Lepisosteus oculatus: one gene and its partner. The protein of the gene in region 1 interacts with the protein of each later gene in a pairwise test. Links are inferred from orthologs where the notes say so. Each region holds a gene or a part of one and is shown on either strand. Other genes may lie near its edges.

Evidence for each region.
Region 2: the proteins of map1aa (region 1) and rho-related GTP-binding protein RhoB interact in a two-hybrid assay, tested with the Homo sapiens proteins (2 studies listed by BioGRID and IntAct). The link is inferred for Lepisosteus oculatus from reciprocal best matches to the Homo sapiens genes MAP1A and RHOB.

The regions. Positions count from the first base shown.
Region 1 is NC_090700.1:49,653,191-49,664,318, forward strand, and holds the start of map1aa (microtubule-associated protein 1A), read left to right. Parts: upstream 1-6,812; 5' UTR 6,813-6,898; coding exon 6,899-7,148; intron 7,149-11,128. UniProt on the Homo sapiens protein: Structural protein involved in the filamentous cross-bridging between microtubules and other skeletal elements.
Region 2 is NC_090697.1:25,685,464-25,696,660, reverse strand, and holds rho-related GTP-binding protein RhoB, read left to right. Parts: upstream 1-6,008; 5' UTR 6,009-6,210; coding exon 6,211-6,801; 3' UTR 6,802-10,177; downstream 10,178-11,197. UniProt on the Homo sapiens protein: Mediates apoptosis in neoplastically transformed cells after DNA damage. Not essential for development but affects cell adhesion and growth factor signaling in transformed cells. Plays a negative role in tumorigenesis as deletion causes tumor formation.

The DNA of each region.
Region 1 (11,128 bases):
TGGCTGAACTCTTTGCCTTTTCAGAAGCTCTATGGCTATTAAATGATGCAGAATAATGTTCATTAATGTGAGACCTCAAGGCTCATCATGAATGAATTTCCCCCGGAGTGGGACCTGAGTTTGATAGGATGAAGCAGTCTAAACTACAGCAGAAGTACCTAGAGCAGTGTACATTAAATTATGGCATTATCATTGTCATGGCCACAGTAAATTCCAGCTATGCCACAGACAACCTTTTCAAATTAAGTTGACAGTAAAGCAGGCTTAACAGTCAAAACATTGTGTTTCTTCTTTTTGGTTTTTGAGTATGGAATTAAACTTTACTTGTCATATTACCATACTACAGTTTTCAGAGGGAGGGTTTTAAATCTTCTTGCTGTTAGATAGAGACTACAATTTATTTGCAAGGAGACAGTAATGTATCGAGAGCTATAGCCAGTAATTTATCAGCAAAATCTAATAGGACATGTTAGATTCAAAATCTGAATGTAATCTGAACCCAAGCCAAGATAGAATTTGAGCTACATCATCCTCTAGCTTTTAAATGGCCTTTTGTCCTTTAAAAAAAAAGCTTGTACTATAGTTACATTTAAATTAATATATCATATGTCAAATATTTAGATGGAATATAATTTATTGAATGATTTCCACATGCGGAAAATAGGCACATCAGTAAACACAATAGACAGACAGATCAAAAACTGTTTTTGATGTGGCTGTCATCTGTACTGTATATTACACATTTATTTTTGTGTGCCGATCAGTGACAACAACTGTGGGAGGCTGTATTTAGGAGAGGGGATATTGGATCAACGCCTCTTTCACCCAAAACAGCGTTTATGCCCAACATTAGGTAAATTATATTTCTTAAAAATTACAACTCTGCGTCCCCATCAAAGTAACTGATACGAAGGTGTGCTCAGATTCAAACTTGTTTGTTGATACAAGGTAATGGAAAGGACATGCATTTGATGGAAAATTGATCTATTTCTGCTCTATACCAGTAGGTACTGGAGAGATGTTAGGCATTTTGAAAATTTCACTCAAACGGATCTAATATGAGCATTAGCTTTCAGAACATTGCCGATATACCACTTTAATAATGGCCAAAAGTAAGTTAATATTAATAATGTTGAATTCTTACGAGAAAACAGTAACGTTACTTACAAATCGCTATTAAAAAGACCACGTATAGTACTGTATATAAACAGTTCACACTCAAGGACCCTACTAATATTAACCGGTAATTTAAGAAAAACACCCCTCGTATAGCCCTGACCCAGGTGGAGAGGAATCACAGCAGCTGAACGCTTGTATAAGCTGATATCGTCGGGACCAGAAATTGTCAAAACGTCGTTAAACGAGCCTGCCCTTGTAGTCACATCACCCATGTCACTACATTCTACAACGCTGCCGGGGAAAGACAAAGACCGATTCCTGGCACTTAAGCCCCTTCCCTACCACCAGCGCTTAAGAAATAGCAGTCTTACCTAGTAATGGCGATGTCTGCTTTTCGATTGATGCTTTTTTTGATGAGGATTTTGCCAAAATTGGCAATGTGTTAATTTCGTCTGCCAGGTTCCACTGTCTTTAACAGCGCCGCTTACAATTTCTCTCTCGCACTTTGCAACTCTACCAGAAACGCTGGGTGTGGGAGACATGGGTGCCACTTAAAGATGCAATGGCATTTTTTGATGAGCGCGTATATGCGTGCGACTAAGTATGTTTGTGTGTGATGTACATGTGTTGTTCAAAGGCAAGACTGAGCTGCTCCTTTCAACACGGATGAGTGAAAGATGGTTTTGTTTTTTTTACCCCAAATCCGTCTTTCGTCTCTATCACCTGAATTTCACAATTGCTGATCAGACCAGTGCTGGTGTGGGAAAAAAACATACTCCTACCGAAGAAATGTGAAGTTTGCAAAATTTACATTTTTGTGTTCATTTTGTGTCTGTCCACATGAGAAAAACAACTAGCTAAGGACCACACTGTTTTTACTTGTTTCTTTTTTGTTGATTAACCCACAGCTACAGATGTGCTATGTGTTTATAATAATTGTCCCCTAAGGGACAATAAAAGTTTATCTTTATCTTATCTTTTTGGTGAGTTATAAGTACATTAGCAGCTGTGCCCACGTGTGTAGTGATGTGCCTTGTGGATGGAAGACTTAAATGTTTGCACAATCCAACTTATGATCTATACATTTGAACATTTTAGCCCCAGGAACACAAAAAAGCTACATGACTGAAGATACTGCATGCATCCTTAAAGATCTGCAACTCCCTGTATCTTGAATAGTGCTGGTAATGTCTTACAGGGCCTTCAGACGTATCTCAGAATGTAAATACAATCTGACAGATTTTGAGCCAATAAACATGTCCGTATCCTCAAACTACATTCAGCTGAGAATAGATTCCTGATATTGTAGTTAACAGGGTTCTTAACCACAACAAAGCCCCATGAAGTGGAGGATGAGCTGCCACACAGTTGCAGAGATGCTGTGCAGTGGGTCCTTGAAAGTGTGGGAGTGCTGTTTCTTTAAAGGGAGGCAGTGGAAATGGGTGATGAAAACCAATGGCCCTGATCACCACTCTGCAGAGCTGGTACAAAATATGGAACCAATATCCTCTGCAAGGTTGCCATGGAGATGTGCTGAGACTGTGAGAGAGTCATATTGCTTCCTCATCATCCATTAAACAATGAAAGAGGGCGGGGTATGAGAGGCAGCACGAGAGCCGCACAAAGGTAGATTCACACTCTCCTGCACCACATGAAAGTCAAAATCTCTTGAAAGGCTTTACCCAGGATGGAAGCCAAACTGGCTAAAATTACACATTGAATGCCAATTTACTGTACTGTATGAACTATATGTTACACGTTCATGATTTTTGTGTGTGGCAATTTAGGGTGGTCTTCAAGTCACTCTTGCATTTGTAGTTTCACATAGTGTGTGAGGCTGAATGTCAAAAATTGTAATCTGTGAAGCAAAACTAATCTATGGTCAATAAATACTTAACATACTTAGGTGGGTACACTAGGATATGTGATTACATTCTTAAGACCTGCTTGCAGGATCAGATTTAAGCAGCTGTCACAAACAGCTACACTGACAGCTGTGTCATTTCTAAGGGAGCTATTTATAGCAGAGCAGTAGTACAGTATATTGTCATACAAGCCTACTACAATTATTTTAGGTTATTAGTTACATGCTATGGGACTCATTAACAAAACACTGACAAGACATATAAAACTGTTTGACTGCAGGAATGTGCATGTCTTAATCTCTAAAGTAAAGAAACTGCTTATTACTTGTTCAACTGCTTGTAACCTCAGGCGAATGTTATAGGGAAGGAATCTTTTTCCTTTTTTTTCAATTTCTGTAGGGGTGTAACCTCATGGAGGAACTACTGTATCGTGTCAAGTGACTGTTTCCCAGTAAGTTAAAAACTATAATAACAGTCGGACGTGTTGTTTCTCAAACCACCACCTGAACGCTTTGGGGGGAATGCTTCTTCCTTCAAAAATAAACTAATAGGCATTTATGCACAATGCACATTTTCAATTGGCCAGGTAAGGCTTTCATTCCTGCATGGGATGCTTCTGCTTCAAGGAGAACGAAATTCATGCAGCACAATTAGCTAGAAACATTTTAGATTTCCAAGGAAACTGATCAAATAACTTCACTTAGCACTTATTTGCATTTGGACTGCTGAAAATCATGTCTGGTTTGCCTTTACATATCAGCTCTACACTGAGAATTTCTGGTAAAGAAAAATAAGAAAGCATTCCCTGTATGCATTTTGTTTTCAAAAAGAGTACAAGCCTTATGTTTATTGTCCATCCTAAATCATTTAAACCTAACCCCAAGCTTTGTACTGCCTTCATACCCAGTACAGAAAAAATACTCAGAGACATACAAGAACCTAGCTCTTATTCTGCAAATGCTTTACAATGCAATTATATTAGTTTTCTTGCAAGTAACATAATGCCTATTAATTCACCACTACTGCTTTTACTTCTCCTACTACTAATAAAAATAAACCTCGGAATTTCCTCAAATGAATCACATCAGCGCGTGTGTATCTCGCCAGTAGGGAGCAGTAGAGGGTCTTGTTAAGGAAATGCTAAAATGCGGCGCGCTGGGCTGCTGAAGTGCTGACTCACTGAGGCCAGCAGGGACACCTGGGAGAAATACAGGAAGCAGCGCAGGCAGGAGAGGTCATAGCCGGCTGGGAAGCCGCTCATTCCTGAAGCCGGCTCGGCCCCTTTCCTAGGCAGCCAATGAATCAGCTTTTCGGAAGCAGGACAGAAGATTCCAGCTGATCTATTACGATACAGGCATGATTTTCAAACAATCCCTTTTACTTTACTGAAGAGACTCCCCATTTGCATTTTGAGTTATAACATATCACTGTTACATGCACATTGCATACAATGTGTGTCACTGTGTAAGTTACTGTCTTTAGAAGTGAATATCTGCTTTCCACCCTGGGCATGAGCTCTCAGAATTCAATGCTCTTCTGCAGAAAGGAATATAGAACTAATTTAATACACAGATACAGTGAACTGCAATGGAGCAGAATCAGTTGCACAACCAGTGCAGCATATCATAGTAGAAACATCATTAAAATGGCATTTAGTCATATCTAACCATTACTGTATAATTATCCTTTTCCAAAAGAAAATGCTTCACCCTGTTTGGATTTGCTGGAGAATAAAGTACTTAAAGTTAATATCATTCGGACCGTGATATTAACTATGATATCAGGCAAAATAAGGATCAGAACTACATATACTGATATGGTGTTACATTTCAGATCACAGTGGTGCTATCCGATAAACTCATCTGAGCCCCTTTCTCCTTCCCCTTGTGCCTCCCATTCTCCTTACCTTTTCTAACCTGCCTCTCCTTCTCTTTCCTGACTTTATTCTCTGTTCTTTTTTTCCTTCAATCTGTGTCCATAATTCTGTTTCTTTCTCTGTCTGATTCTGTTTTCCCCCACCCCTCCTCTCTCTCTCTCTCTCTCTCTCTCTGGATTATTGCCCAGATAGAGCTGATTGCTGCAGTGCAGTGTCATTCCCTGGAGAATAAGTGGATGTGTGGGATATCTCCTGTTCTCCTGCTCATTTTGAAAACAACAACAATAATAATAATCACTCTTTCTCCCACTTTATCTTTTTTTTAATTTCCCAGAGACATTTGTTGAGTATATTTGCTTTGACCTTGAGAAAGTAAAGCTCTGCCGGCCGTGTAGCAAACAACACGCTTGGATGAAAACTGCTTAAACTCAGGTTACACGTTGGTTGCTAGCTTTGTGTGTATGCTGTATACATAGACCCTCATGCCTTTAAACAAAAGAGCAAAAGTGATTCAGAACATTCTTCATTGTAAAACAGTCTGGCTGAACGTTTGTCTACATTCTAGGCTCTTCAGATGTTGAATACAAATGAGGGGAACCGAACGAGTGCCGACTCATCTCTGCAATAACTTAACATCAGTAGAGACAAGATGATTTCAGGATGAGATTTATTGCTTCTTAATAATTAAACAACATGAATCATGGATGTCACAATGGCCCAAGAGTGTGACATTGAGAACCACACTTCCCAAGCTAAAAGTGGGGTCATTAAGGTTGCTGCCATTGTAGATGTGTTACAACAGACTTTGAGGCCAGTTATTAACGTAGAACCTGTTTCGAAGGGATATACTGTAGTTAGAGGCAGAATATACCCACGTGAAGAGGTAACCGGAAGTATACTGAAGCTACACGTAATTGTATCTTCTTGTGAAAGTATTTTTCTATTTTTACCTTCTGAGAAATGACCGTTGATGACTCTACTCAGATGATGACACGGCTCGTATTTACTTATGCGAGACGGAGGCCTCGTGATTTCGGTGTGTATTCTGCACCGCCCAGGTGTCTCTGACATATTCCATACTTACCGACACCCGCATAAACAGAAACAGATTGAAGTAAAGGCACAGAGCTGACATCAGCAACACGGATAATGAAAACGATCTCTCCAACACTGTCAGGGGTTGTTTAAAAAATAATTTAAATAAACCCCAGCGCAAGAACTAATGAAAGCCGGCCACAGCCCCGTCTGATAACCCTACTGGGAGTGAGAGTTTGGCGTATTTCGAGAGCTGTGTCAGCATTTCTCACAGTGTGCTGTCAACAGTAGCTCTGATGCCCGACACAGAGGGTCTGTAGCCTACAAGGTCACGCTTTGGGTAAAGGAAACGTGTGCCAGGCTCTTTAAGTGCTGTTCTATGGTCTACTGGCGCTGTCCTTTAGCAAACCTAGACACAGCTGTTATTTGTTTACAGTACCTCCCCCACTGTGTATGCCTCTATGGCTTTAAATATGATAGTTCTATTTGTGCCGTGAGTGTCTTAATAAAAATATATGAATCCTCGCATTAAGAGTGGTTTATCTAAAGTGATTTGAGAGGAAATAACATTTTACATTGAACAAAAACAATTTTACGGGAACAAATCATTTCGAAAGATCCATGGGCAGCAAGCTAGGGTTACAGGAATAAAATTAGAATATGAATAACAAAATTTGGTTGATTTGAGTTAGCATAAATTGCTCCAATTCCTAACTGCGGATGAATTTGATCCTTACAACCTAAACGTCATAAATTTGTCATTTAAGCGCAGACCACGACACGCGGATGCAATCAATATGTTGTATTGGAAGACGTGGGTTTACTAGTGTTACGAGGAACCGCCCTCTGTGCACGTCTATTGGATGACCGTGACATCAAACATCCGCATGCGCCAGTAGCCAATCACAAACGAGCAAATGGCTCTTTAAATGTGCAGTGCGCCCCTCCCACCGGGACCTCCCCTAGTTTTCCGTCTCGCGGAGAGCTCGTGGCAGCAGTTGTCATGGAGATGGAAGAGGGGCCGGCGTCGGCTCTAGGTGCTGTTGCCATGGAGATGGCGCGGGCTGCGGCAGAGAAGGACGAAAGCGGTGCGCATCTGGGACTCCAGGAGCTGCAGGAGCCGCTTCAGCACCAAGGACAGCAGCAGCGAGCGGCGTCACTGTTCTGCCAGGGGAAGTATTACATGCTGATCGTAATCGGGGAAGTCGCAACAGAAAACCAGCTCCGAGCCGTCAGAGAACATACCGAACTGGGTGAGTCTGCAGGAATGCCCTCGAGTTTTATCGCGCTGCACCGCTCTATGCGCAAGTGTGCTGGAAAGGGTGTCGGGGCTGCAAAACATACCAGGAAGAAGAATCAAGTTGACGCAACGTTAGCCGAGGGAACACGTGAAGGCAGATCCTTGGGTTATAAAGTCTAACTTTCACCAAGTTCAAGTTTTTGCAATGATGAGAGAGGGCTAAGTTTAGCTGGTTTAGGCATCTGGTGCAGAAGAAACAAGAGAAACTCAAGTCAGTGAAGTCTCCAGGGTTTTCTGAATTCCGACAGATTCTAAGCAATTGGAAAAAAAAAGCCATATTTTATCCTGGTCTACCATATCACGCCTTGTTTTTTAAAAAAAGAAAATGTAATGCAATAATAACTTATTTAATACAGCCCAACCCTGTTAGCCCTGTAGAGGCAGAATCTCCAGAAAGTTAATTCATTTCTAACATTCCCGATTGTTTCCAAACTGTAAATCAAACTGTCTTCAAGATTCAAGATTTTTTATTTGCCATATACAACAAGTGTATTGGAATACTTACTCGTTCAGCTGTACCCAGTAACAGTAGAGAAGGAAAAACAGGCAGACATGACAAACAGACATGGACAATAAATTTAGACAACAGACGTTATAATACAGCCAAGACAGGACATAGTGCAAACAGTGCAGTACCTAAAAGCGCAGGTGGTAATTTGAGCTGTTTATGATACGGACTGCTTGGGGAAGGAAACTGTTTTTGAATCTATTGGTCAGTGTTCTGATACTGCGATACCTCCTACCAGAACCCAGGGGTGAAAACAGACCGTGGCCAGGGTGAACTGGGTCCCGAAGTATACAGTAGCTCAAGCTCGGTTGTGGCAGCGGTCGAGATATATCCGGTCGATGGAGGGTAGCTCGGTCCCAGTGATTTTCTGCGCGGACCTCACAACCCTCTGTATGGCTATTCCGTCCTGTACTGTGGCTCCACCTTTCCAAACCGTAATACCACCGGTCAGGACTGCTAGCAACGTCTGGATTTGATATACAGCAAGACTGAGGACATAGGTAACCAGACGATTCCACTACCTTAACATTCTCACGAGATCACGGATAAAAACAACGCTTACAAACGGGTAAACAAAATGCCAATGACGCATCCGTTAGGATGAATTCACGTGAAGCAGAAACGATTTAAAATACTTCGTAAGGCACCGAAAAGTTCCCCAGTTCTGCCTCCAGTTCTTCAGTTCTGCCTTCGGTGTGGAGGAAAACATCGCAGAGCAAGGGAGCTGATATCCCTGCGCAGACTTCATAACCAATTCACATTGCGACGCCAGCCGTCAGTCGAAAAAATTCAAAGGCCGAGAAACAATCCCTAAAGGCCCAGTGCTTAATAAACAAATAATACCGCTGACAGCAGAAATATATAAAAAAATATTTATATTTATATAATATTGCGGAGAGGCAGCAGTCCACTTTGCACTGTTTGGAGTGATGAAATGTTTAAGGATGGGGAGGGTTCCACTGACTCCATGCTCATTTACATTTCACCGCTCATAAAGGCTTTCCGGTACCACAAACCAAACAATCCACTTAAAAAGCAGGGAAAAAAAGAACGAAAACATAAGAAACGAAAGTCGAGACAACGGAAACGCAAGTTTCCTATAATAGGAAAATATGAGAGCCTAGTGACATACTGTATGTCCCTGCTTTGCTTGGTAAGTCTATTATGTATACAGTATATTGTCTGTTATTTATATAATAAAATATGATGCCCTTACCATTTTTCTCCTGCAGAAGGTTTACACTGAATAGGTTTCTGAGTTCATTTCAGCAGATGTAAGTCATGCAAGAACTCACCTAAAGCAACATTAGAATGATAAATATTCAAGTCTGAATCGCATATCATCAGAAAAAAAGCACTATTGGCAGTGTAAAGCAACACTGTATTGTAGGCCTACATTCAACAACACATAAGAACAGTTTTGGCATGCAAACAGGAAACTTAATTTAACTTAAAAACTTAAGGAACTTAATTAAAACGAAAAAAAACCCTTTTAATTAATGTACAAACATTGTTGGTACCAGCGGGGCATTGACACTTCATTTGAAACATGCAGTCTTTGTTTCTTTGTAAGGTCAACACACAGGCCTCACTGTTGTCTGTACGACGATGCTGTAAAAATCACTCAAGGAATATAGAGTCAATTTATGAAATTCCCAGATTTTCAAAACACAGCGTACAAATGAAAATCATTATTTTAAGACATCCAAATAAAGTGCTTCTTATAGTATGTACAATAAGTTGTGATTGCATACACTGGTTACAGTAAATAAATGACTCGTTATTTATAGGTCTTGCTATTGTCTGACAGAAACAGCATTTTATTTTACAGTATGGAGAACCAAATATTTGTGTTAATTTTTCAAACATAATTTAATTCATTATAGTTGTAGCACCAGGTGTTATTATTTAAACAAAATAGAATAAATATAGGATAAAAAATAGGAACATTGCTAAGAACGTTGATAAATGGCACTGATTAACACATTTTATAATATTATCAACAATTCAGCGATTCCTGTTCCAGTGTCTCTGTTGCAAAAAAGCTCTGTGTTTCTAGAAATACCTTTAGTTTGCAGCTTGAATCTTTTTATAACGTTCTGTAGAACTCTATAAGTGTTTTAGAGGTTGAAAAACCTAACAATGCAAAACAAAAACAATGGGATGAATTAAAGAAAGAAAAATAATAATAATAATAATAATTGCTTACACTTATATAGCGCTTTTCTGGACACTCCACTCAAAGCGCTTTACAGGTAATGGGGACTCCCCTCCACCACCACCAATGTGCAGCATCCACCTGGATGATGCGACGGCAGCCATAGTGCGCCAGAACGCTCACCACACATCAGCTATCAGTGGGGAGGAGAGCAGAGTAATGTAGCCAATTCATAGAGGGGGATTATTAGGAGGCCATGATTAGTAAGGGCCAATTGGAAATTTTGGCCAGGACACCGGGGTTACACCCCTACTCTTTTCGAGAAGCACCCTGGGATTTTTAATGACCACAGAGAGTCAGGACCTCGGTTTTACGTCTCATCCGAAGGACGGCGCCTGTTTACAGTATAGTGTCCCCGTCACTATACTGGGGCATTAGGACCCACATGGACCGCAGGGTGAGCGCCCCCCGCTGGCCCCACTAACACCTCTTCCAGCAGCAACCTTAGTTTTTCCCAGGAGGTCTCCCATCCCGGTACTGACCAGGCTCACACCTGCTTAGCTTCAGTGGGTTGCCAGTTGTGAGTTGCAGGGTGATATGGCTGCTGGTCATATCATAAAAAAAACTATTTTTTTATTTTTATAAAAAAATAGTTTTTATAAAAGCTGTATAAAAGTAGTAATATCAACATAACCTCTGCAATATATTATAATATATAACACTAATTAAAACAAAGCAATAGTAATATTTAATTACTAAATGATGAAAAGCTTAGTATTTCTGTTAATACGGGGATCAGAGACACCTTAAACTGTGCACAATAGAAAGACATTCACGCAAGAGAAATGGCTATGATACCAAAATATATAATAAGATCAATTCCTCTTTTTAACGGTTGTGAACTCGAGACACTTAAGTTTCCAGAACATTTTTATGATTTATAGTAAGCTTCTTGGTGCCTGGATAGTGATAAGCAAGAAAGTCCAATCTTCAAGGCCTCGGTACTTTATTTGTAATCAGGAAGATCTTCAATCAATATAAGGGGCTCATTTGATATGAGTAAATAAATATAGACAGGTAGATTAGATTTATAACAAATTCAAGCTATTTATGGTGTAGTTTGCAATTCCAATTTGGAAAACGTGGTCCTGTCTTGAAGTTGTATGAATAACAACTGCAATATATTTGACCTTCAGGCATCTGTGTGATTTATTGCCCTAGGAGAATGCTCCGTAAAGATTTTGTTATGGAATTTCTTTAGCAGGAA
Region 2 (11,197 bases), on another chromosome or scaffold:
AAATACTGTATGTTGACAGCTGTTTGGATATCCACACTAGTTTCTGCCCAGTTTCCATCCTCGGGTGAATGTGACAATCATTACACTTCATCTTCAAATTACTGCTCTTAAAAGGCTTAGCATTTACAATTGTATGACTCCTGGGTGAGTCTAGAAATAAACTCCCCAGAAGCTCTCCAAACTCCAAACTCTGACTTTTGGGTTTTTCACAACAGTTGAGCAGTAATGTAATGCTGCAACTCTTACCTGACTGACAGCAGTGGTCAGAGGAAATGAGGTGGACCCTAGTGAAGATGAATTCAGGCAATAAGGCTGATGAGAGCAGGGAGGCAGGTGGGCAGACAGAGAGACATAATCCAAAGTCATAGTTGAAAGTGAAGCAAGGCTCGAAGCCAATAAGACTGGGCAAAAGAGCAAACAGCAAATCCATGTGTAGTTGTAGTAAACAAGTTAGGTTCATAGCTAGGAATAAGCACATGCATCTGAACCAAGGTCAAGACAGAGTCAAAACACCAGACAACACAGGCAAAGCAGAGGTGAACCAGAGACATACTCAGAAGCACAAGTGTAAAATGTAGCTGGGAGAAACAGGCAAAGCATGAGAGAAACTAAGCATTGAAACTAAAGTAAAAACTCAAACACTGAATGGGAATGTGACATGGAGACTGGTCTTAAATATTCTGCTAAATGAGGTAAGTGACTATCTCTTGGAACTGATCTTCTTCCTAATTGTTTTCATGACAACTGGCTGATTGGCTTCAGTAGAAACTCAACCGGTTTTCCGAGGTGTTTACAGTGCTTTGACCAGCGCTCCTGTGGGAGCTGGTGTGACAAGTAACATACGGATTTATAAAGACGGACAATGTTTTGCAACTCTTTGGCAAATTGCAGTGTTGGCGGTTTGCCGGGGCAACACAGATGCAGCTCTCCACATGGCTAAGGATGCCTCTCACTGTTTTGGAAAATACAGACTGAGACCACGACCAGTGAGTATCCCTTAAAAGTGTTGACTAATTTTGCTATGTAGTATGAAGTTCTCTCAGGATGGGAAGATACAGTACCTGTGGCTGCAAAGGCAATGCATTAACTCAGTGGTTCTCAAACTGTGGTACACGTACCGGCAGTGGTATGTGGCGTGCCGCCAGGTGGTACGCCAAATGACCCTGGAACTGTGTTGTGTGCGCTGAAAAAATCGGGACGGGTTTTCATATTTTGTACTTTTATACGTGTCGAATACGCAGCCTGCGTACTAGGATACAGTGCGCGCTAATACTTCAGTGGACACAAGAGATACTCTGTAATTCTATACCACTCTATAGGAAGGCGTGCTACGGACGCAAGTGACCAATTGTATTTAAAAAAAGCTACTGTATCTCCAGCAAACAGGGAGAAAGGAGAATGTGTGTGATTTTGGAACAATGCCAACGTTGTAAACACAGGAATGCATAGAATTGCGTACTACGAACGCAGGTAATTTTGTGAGCGCACGAAAGGGTGAAAAATAACAGAAAAATATTTAAGAACTGTTCTAAGTTAATTTGAGAAAAATACATCGAGCGTCTTTGTGTTTCTCTCCCATGCGCATGAAATAAATACTTAAAATAAACACTGAAATAAAAACGGAAACGTCGAAAATGCAAACTTGCAGATTACTAAAGCAGGTAAGCCCCACACTATTATGTGTGGAGAAAAAGCTGATGAACAGCCCGACCTGCTGCCCCCCCGAAAGACACAGTCATTCATAGAATTATTGAAATGAAGGATTATATCAAAAGTACACTGACAGAGCGCGTTAAGATGAGCAGATGTTTTTCACTGCAATTAGATGAGTCTGTAGTCGATTTGGCCAATTTGCTCGTTTACGTAAGATACGAGTTTGAGGGTACGTCCCGTGAGGACTTTCTGTTCTATAAGCCGCTACCAACAGGAACTACAGGAGAGCACATATTTCAGCTTCTGAATGAATTTATCGAAGAGAATGACATCGACTGGATAAAATGTGTCGGAGTTTGTACAGACGGTGCTAGAGCAATGACAAGCCGACACAGCGGTGTAGTTGCACGAATTAGAGAGGTTGCTCCAGAAATTAATGGTTTCATTGCAACATCCACCGCGAGACCTTTGCCGTCAAGAAAATGCCTGACGATTTAAAATCTGTTAGATTGCTTTGCTCAACTAAACAGGCTCACCCCTCTCACTGAAATGGTGCTTTTTTTATTTTTATGTGTTGTTTTTTTCTGTAAAACACTTTGAGAAGCCACATTTTAATATATCAAACAAAGTTTATTATTATAATATTTATTATATGTATGTGTGAGTGTGTGTGCACATGCGCTCATGTTGGTCATTGATAATTTCTGGGGTTCCTATGAGATGATGACTTGTAGGTGGTACTTGGATACTTTGGTTGGATTAGGGGTGGTACTTGGTCCAAAACGTTTGAGAACCACTGCATTAACTCATTTTTAAACTGTATAAGACCATTACCAAGGCATGGTTTTGCATCCTGACCAGATGCAAAAGATATGTTGGTCTTCTGAAAGTAGGAAAATTCATCAGGAAATCACCTTCACAAAAAGTATTGGCTCACTTAAAGCATGCTTCTTGTATGCTGTCAAAATTTCAGTCAATTATAAAGCCTTATAAGTTTGCAGGTTTAGCCAACTGCTTAATAGAGCTTTGTTGTGCTAAACTTCACTCTCCAGAAGATGGCAGCAAAACAAGGCCCTTCAGGATAATGATCATCGGATTTAATGGCCCAGGCATCTTCCTTATCTGCAATATTTGAAAATCACACACGAGTACACACTTAATAAGGCCCTATCTCCCTAGTGTGGTAAATGAGGAAAGACATGTGAGTTTATCCCTTGGGTTGGGAAACAACTGCTCTAGTGCATTTATCTTGTAAGATATAGCTGCAACATATAAAATCAATGTAAACAGAAGTGTAAATGAAATGGTTTTGCTTATTTGATTTTCTATTGGCACACTCTAAGGACATCAAAGTGCTGAGTTCGTACTCAGATTCGAAAAAAAATGTATATTTAATAAAATGTATGGATTGGAAGCCATCTAATAACGTGAGGACAAAAAATATTGTTTAAAAACTTCCTTGTGCCTTAGGAGTTTTCTCTGTGAGGATGACAGAAGGGTGTAGCTAAGCCGATCACTCATGACCTTTCACAGAGAGACGCTCCCAAACCACGACACTGGCAGGGACAGGAGGGAGGAAGTTTCTGTTTTCTTGTAAACACCTTCACATGAAACCTGAGAGAAAAACACTAGTGACAGCCTTAAAGGCAGATGACTTTTTCAAAAATATTTTCCTTTTCATCTTTTCTTTTCCAAGGTTGATCCTTAGGGGTACAAGCCCTGCCTTACAGGCTAAACCTCAGAGTGCAACATGTGATTGTTGTTAACTCAGCTCTTCAGCAGCCCAAGAAAAAACAATGCAGCATTGTGAGTAGTCCAACATGTTGAACTTTGAATTGACCTTTCAACCTCATGGCCTTAAAAGTGGAAAAGGTGTGTTATTTCAACATGTTGCTCCTTGCTGTCTGAGGGCACAGCATCCTTTTCAAACCTCACCAGAAGTCACGCAAGGGTTTGCTGAGTGAAAACTAAAATGAAATACTGTATAGACTAGAACTAGATTAAGATCCCTCCACTGTTTATGCTGTATTTTCAGTAGTGATGTCTGATTGTGAAACCCACACTTTAAGGAAATACATATTACTGAAATATAACACAGTTGATGCATGGAAGATTACACCATAATCAAAACTAATCAGAGTTAACACAAGTTTCTTTTCTGTTTTTATATTAAAAAATAATGTGGATATTAACTACTGAGAAATTCTAGAATTAGAAATACCAGTTGTTTTTAAACACTATATAAAAGAAGAAGGGTATTTTTGAAACTTGATAATCCACAGCGTTAAAAGCACCCCAGATTTCCCTGATTGAAAAAAGCTGTTTAAGTTTGGATTTTTTTTTTCAGGCTGTCATTGAACCTTACGTTTATGCTCTTTAATCAGTAAAACTATTCTGTTTCACAGAACTTATTGAGATGTGTGGCTCATGTTTTTTTTTTAATGAGCCTTCTGTCTTCTTTTAATTCTGATTATTCTCTATATAAATAAATAAAAAAAACCTTTGCCATTCACGTTAAGACAGAAGAAGCTCTCTAGGTATAATGGATGAGACATGAAGATTCATGAGGAATGTATGTATTAAGGAATGAATACTCTCCCCTCTATGCAAATCTCATTTCTGTGTTCTCATATTTATTTTCCTTTCACAGTTTATGTGAGAACTAGGCTTTTCGACCAAGTAGTGAAATCATCTTGTTTACCCTGATCAATGCTCCCCAATGTGAAATGAGTTGTTGTCACAGAACAGCTTCCATTTATTTGGAATCCATGGTATGGACTGTTGTATGAAACTGGTGTTACAACAGGCAATTATGATGTCATATCTTCCATTCTTTATCTAGTGTTGCATCCCTAACACCTTTTTACGGCAGAGGGTATTTTTAGAAACTAAATTCTTTCTCTCCGCCTCTTACTCATTGTTTTGTTCAGTTAAGACATATGAAATCCCACTGAAACTGAATTTCTGACTAAACACTAACAGAAATTAATACAATATTTTAAAATACAAATTATACAATGAAAGTAATAATGAAGGAATAAGAACACATTTACACATTACGTATGATATAAACCCATAGGTAGGACCAAATAAGAAAAAAAACCCAATATGTCACGTGGTCTATATAACACTACTCGAAATCAAACTGCAAAATATTTCTGTAATAATGTGTAGTAATGGGAAACACCTTTTTGAACGTTTGAATTGAGCAAAGGAAAGGTTTCCACAAGGTGTCACTATTTCCTCATTTCAATTAAAAAATGAACTTGCGCTAGTGCTCAGCTGCAGTACAGTTTATCTTGGAAGTCCAAATAACGCGCGATGATGTAGCATAAATAATATATGCTGATTAGTTATTTTTGTTTGTTCACCGCCAATGAGATGAGTGAGACACGGAGATTAGGTTTTGTTCCCAATTTCTACAGAGCCCGTCTAGAGCTGAACCACGGCACGAATCTCAGTACTGTGTTTAATGGTGAAGAGGGGGTTGTGACTGTTCTTAATATTGACCTATTGCTGCTTACAGGCCGCAACTGTTGTTCAACGGGCAGGAGGGGAGGAGGAGTACAGGAGCTGAATATATCAAAGCCATTCCTTGATTTATTGTTATGCATTTTCATACATACATGTATCTAAGTTGTGTTTACAGCTAGTGAAGCCACTTCCACGTCTTTTACAACGATTCGGTTTTTTTTCCATTTTCAAATTCAAGGAAAAAAACGGTTCAAGTAAAACCGTTGCAAACAAAAAGAACAATTTAAGCAAATTTTACTTTTTATCTTTTAATTATCATCATTGAATTAAAAATATCTTAGACTATAAAGAGGCAAATAAATATAACGCAGTATCTTATCTAATTATGACTAGAACACGTTTTAAATCTTTTAACCAACATAGTTCAAACTTAGACTGAGGTTCCCATATTTTCTGTTGACTCTTTAAAACACTGCTAAAATAGCATTCAAATCTTCTATCATCTTACCAATACAATTCAATCAAACTTGCAAAAATTGAGAATCCTTTACCCCCACAAATCTTACACGATATGTAAAGCGTCGTGAGAAAAAAAAAACAATTAAGGCAAAGCGATAAGTGACGAATCACATTTCATTCAAACAGATGCATCAATCTTATGCTTTCCACTGACCACCACATATCCCCCCAGTCTGCTGCTCACGCCTGCGCAGACCCCGACATTGAGCTCATCCCCCGAACAGCGCGTGAATCCTCGTGGTGAGTAATTCATTCCTCCTAGGTCGGGCTAGTGAGGAGGCAGAACCAATCACGTCGGCCATCTAAAATGGTGACCTCACCTATCTCTCTCCCATTGGTTTGCTATATTAAGAAAGCAGTCCTAGTCTTTAAAACCGGGGGAAGTTGGTTTTTCAGCAGTGGCTGAAATAAGGCAGAAAGAGGTGGTGGTGGTGGAAGATTGCAGCGCTAGCTCCAGAAGTACAGTTGCCTTTACGTGTTGCAATAAGCTGATTTTCCGTTTGCACTCCGCTGATTGCTTCGTGTTTCACTCCGCGTGTAACCCGACAGCGTTGAGGAGAAAGAATGGCCGCTATTCGGAAAAAGCTGGTCGTAGTCGGAGACGGAGCTTGTGGGAAGACCTGCTTGCTGATCGTTTTCAGCAAAGACGAGTTCCCCGAGGTGTACGTGCCAACGGTGTTTGAGAACTACGTGGCCGACATTGAGGTGGACAGCAAGCAAGTGGAGCTGGCTCTGTGGGACACTGCCGGGCAGGAGGACTACGACCGCCTCCGCCCTCTCTCCTACCCCGACACCGATGTCATCCTGATGTGCTTCTCCGTGGACAGCCCGGACTCCCTGGAAAACATCCCCGAAAAATGGGTGCCGGAAGTGAAGCACTTCTGCCCCAACGTGCCCATCATCCTGGTGGCCAACAAGAAGGACCTGCGGAACGACGAGAACGTCCGGAACGAGCTGTCCAGGATGAAGCAGGAACCGGTGAAAACGGAGGACGGCAGAGCCATGGCGGTGCGCATCGGGGCTTACGACTACCTGGAGTGCTCTGCCAAAACCAAGGAAGGGGTGCGGGAGGTGTTCGAGACCGCCACCCGGGCCGCACTGCAGAAGAGATCCAGACCATCCGGGGGCTGTTTGAATTGCTGCAAGCTTTTGTGAACTGTGAAGGACAGTCGCTGCGTGACACGAACTGAAGGAAAAAAAAATCCCTTATTTTTTAAGCGGTAAAGGTTACGGGACAGGCACTCTCCAGTTAGTCTGGTGCCGAGATTTAACAAAAGAGGGGAAATAAACCTCAAGATGGGACTGAATGAGACTTGCCTTCTCTGCACTCGCGTGACCGAGGACTCCAGGGTGTCATGCGGAGCTTGACCCCTCGGCAGAACTTGCATTAAAGACCAGACTATTGACGTTTACTGTGATGGTCAGTTTTTGACGGTGGGTTTTGGGGGCGCTGTGCTAAGGCCAAAGCAACGTAGGTCTTGAAATCGGGGTGAAATGATCGGGTTTCTTTAGTGGCGGTGTCTAATCTGTGGGGAATTCTGTTTATTTTGTAAATCCGACCACCGTCAGTTGCATTAAGATTGAGACTGAGGGGGCGAGGATCCCCCCCCCCCCCCCCCCGGGAAGCAAATTGCATTCTGAAACCACTTTATAAAGAAATTGACATCTTAATAATCCCTAGTTAAAAAGGTGGAAATTAGGCTTTTTGAGGTGATTTTTTTTTTTTCCACCCACGAAGTGATTGCATTGTACCGTAAGCGAGAGGAGATGCCTGTCTGAAGAGAAAGCGAGCGGGTGTTACCTCTGTTGAAATGGTGGAGAGGGAGGGGGACTGCGGGGTTTTGTCCTGCAGGCTGATGATATAAAAAAATAACACCCCGCCTTCGCAAACAAGGTGCCTGCTTTGTTTCAGTCATGATGAAGTGGCTGCTTTTGCTGTTTTTTTTATACTGGATGTAAAGAAAGGAAGAAAAAAGGCGTCAGGTTTTGGAAAATGATAACCTTTTTTTATTTCTTGTTGCACAATAAGGTTTTCGATGCCACAGCAAGGCACTTAAACATCAGTATTGTAGCATTCTCCGAACTTCACACTCGTGTAACTTATTGTATGTTTGCTTCCCTGTTGCTCCGCTACTATAGTAATGCTACTAGCCTGATCCATTAAACCACAGTCGTTTGCGTATGAAAACCCGGCACCGTTTACTTTGGGATGATGTATATTTCATTGTTGCACTGTGGCCGATTTCAAGGGCTTGTGCTTCTGAGAAAATGTAAAAAAAAATTCAGTGGCGGCACTGGTCTTTGTGTAAAAAATATTGTATTTCTTTCTCTGCTACAGAGGAAGCTAAAAAGTCTGTTTTGTTGTATGATAATATTTTTGTACGTCTTTAAAGCAGTGGTACAAAGGATGTTTGTCTTTGTTTAAAACTAACTGAAAAACTGAAGTTCCAAGACGTATGAGATGTTTACATGAATTCATATTGACATAAGCTGTGTATACAGTTTTTACGAAAGAAATATTAAAAGTTAAACGTTTAATTTAAAATTTCTTCCTTTTTGTTTTTAAACTTTATTTAATGACGCTTCACCTTTTATATCTCTGAATACAAATGTCAATCACAGTGAATGGAAACAGACTACTATTTAAAAAAACGATTTCCTTTAGTTTAATTCGGTATGGGCGTTAGTATTGTAACACTCAAGAGAATCGCGCTCTCAATTCAGAAAGCCGAATCGATTACGATTTAAAGGGTCTTTGTCTCTCAGGGTGGGGTCACTTCTCACTAACGATTCGAGCTTCTTCTGGGTCTTAGTGCTGTAAATTCCATTGCATTTTGAAGTCGGGCATACGTAAAGTCAGTTCATGATTGTCAGCATTTTGTAATTCTATAACAAACAGCCGCACAAGATGAACAATTGGTACCGAGTACAGACGCTGCTTTTTTTTTTAATGGTTTCAATCCCAGTATGGTATTTTTCTCCCCTTTGCTTTCCCCTTGGCTGTTGTGTGTCTGTGCTTTTCATGCCTTGAGGGAACAGTTTTTGTTAGCATTAAGGGAGAGCTCGCTAGATTGTAGTGTGTGGAGTCCGTATTCATCTTCCCTTACTCAGACGTAAGATGCTATTTTACACCTAAAAAATCTGGTTTTGATTGCCTGACATGTCTCCCGTTTTCAATTCTGAAATTTACAAAGCTTGTTGGCTATTTGCTTTTCATATGGCACATAAAAAGCCACTCCTTTATGAAGTTGTCTGGATTAGTAACCATCCATATTCAGTAGCTGCTAGATTTAATACTGGGTTCTGCGAGTTGGATCCTAACCAGGTTCAGTGTGAGTACAAGACTGATACACTTTGGGTGGGACACCAGTTCATTACAGTTAATATTTGCTACTCATTAATATAAAATGGCTTTTATGCACAGGAGTGCAGGCATATTTAATGTATAATATAGTGAATTCCATTGTACGGCAAGAGTGCTCAGTGGGAATTCTGTTGTTAAAGTGTCTAAATTAAATCCTAATTAAAAATATTTGCTGTTTTGAACAAGGGCAATCTAGTGTATGAGAAAAATACACCCAATATTATATGAAAATGCTATTTCTGACACTTCTGGAGTGCAAAATTCTCTTGTTTTTTTTTCTCTAGGCCAATCATACTTCGTTGGAACAGCTGTGGGAATCATTCCGGTCTGAGTGGGCTTAGACAGGGGAGGAAATAAATCCTTTCCCATGAACTTTGTTCTAGCCGTTGTTACAGAGGGGAAACATTAGTAGGCAGGCAGACTAGGCCTTTGCAGTGTCTTTGCTGCTGGGAACCCAAGACCAGTGTGTTAATCTGCATTATATGGGTTAAAGACTATTGCCCATTGGCCTTTGTGTTGGAATGCAAAACACTTAAGTGAATTTGCTCAAGTTCAGCTTTCAGTTAGTATAATAAATGTCTGAAGCTCACATTGTGGCTCACTAATTATTCCTGTTAATTTTTCTCCTGGTTTGGTATGCTTTTCCTGGCAGTAATCTCCATAATCCTTTAACAAACATGCTGTAGCACTTGGATGTATAGGCAGTGCCAATCAGAACATGGTGTTTGTGATTTCATAAATGTTTTGGAAATGGAAATCACCTGGTCATTGAAAGTCACTTCATGCCATTATAAAAGGACTCTTAATTTGGCTTTGTATCACCAATTTAATTAATATTTCCTCATTCTTTTCTGTAGTATATCCTGATGTTAATATCTTGAAGACTAGGGTAGGGAAAAAATCCCAGAGGCCTTGTTTTTACAAAAATTCTTCCAAACAATTTTGAATATTAAATATTTTCCCTTTAGCACTGGGTTGTACTGATTGTTTTTTTTTTTAATTTGGATTTTTCATTAGAAATTTTTCAAAGGTAAATAAGTCAAATGTTTTATGTGGTAATCTTGCATTAAACTAATGTGAATAGATCCAGTATCATAATGGATTACTTTGAAAAGAGGCCAGGAAAGAAATATGTAAAACAAATAAAATATTGCTTCCAAAAATAAATATACTGCTTCCATTGTTTATTTTAAGACATTTACTTTTTGCTGGGTACCTGCAGTGTTTATGAGTATTTATTACATCTCTTCTGCTAATTATGTAGTTCCAGACGCTGCATTCAAACAAATTTTTCTATATATGGTCTTAATCCTGTTCGGAATTGGTGGAATAAATCAGATTTTGCTGCTTAATGATTTGTGAACAAGCAAAGAAATGAGTGTAATTTTATGTGATAATCAATGTTTTGCTTCATCAGAAAAGGTTCTTGCGATAGTTTGTGCAGAAAATGGAATAGCTCTTGCTTAACTGGTGTTTTCTATCAAGAGATGCTTTAGCAACGCAGATCTCAGTCAATCACAAAGCATTGTCAGGTGATACTGGCAAATGCTTTCAAGAACATCAGCACTGACATGCTTACAGTCTGGAGCCGGAGGAGGCCCATCATCTTGAAAGGGGTTTGTTTACTAGTTACAACTTTTCCCTAATAAAGTAACATATTCATTTTTGCATTATGCTACACAGTCTGCAACCACAGAGCTTTCATTGATAGGAATATGAGTCTGTAATTGAAAGCGGGTAACTCTACAGCTCATGAGTCATATGATGTAAAATAGCCCATCTGCAGTCCGTCTAGGTGAGAAATGGTTCCCAGATGGAAAATGCAGAGACCTGTTCTTAGGTGAGCTGAGGACATGTAGTGAGGATCTCTCAAGCGGTTTCTGTTCTTTGGTAGACTGAATTATGAGCTTTAAGGGGCTGTGTGTGCTAGCCTGGGTGAACACTGGACAGCTTCCGGTGAATAAGTTCACTGAGCGAGAAAACCAGGATTGTTTAGGTGCTCAAAGTACACACAGAGCTCCCTTGCTTGCAGTCTCCTGCGATGTAGTTTGAATGGGTCTGTATACATGATGTGGCATTGAAGTCTGGAAAAAGAAAACTGCACAGCTTAATTATTCTCTGTGAAATGGAGAGCTCATATTCAAGAATGTGTAGCCAAGCTATTGTGTTGGTTGTCCTCTGATAACC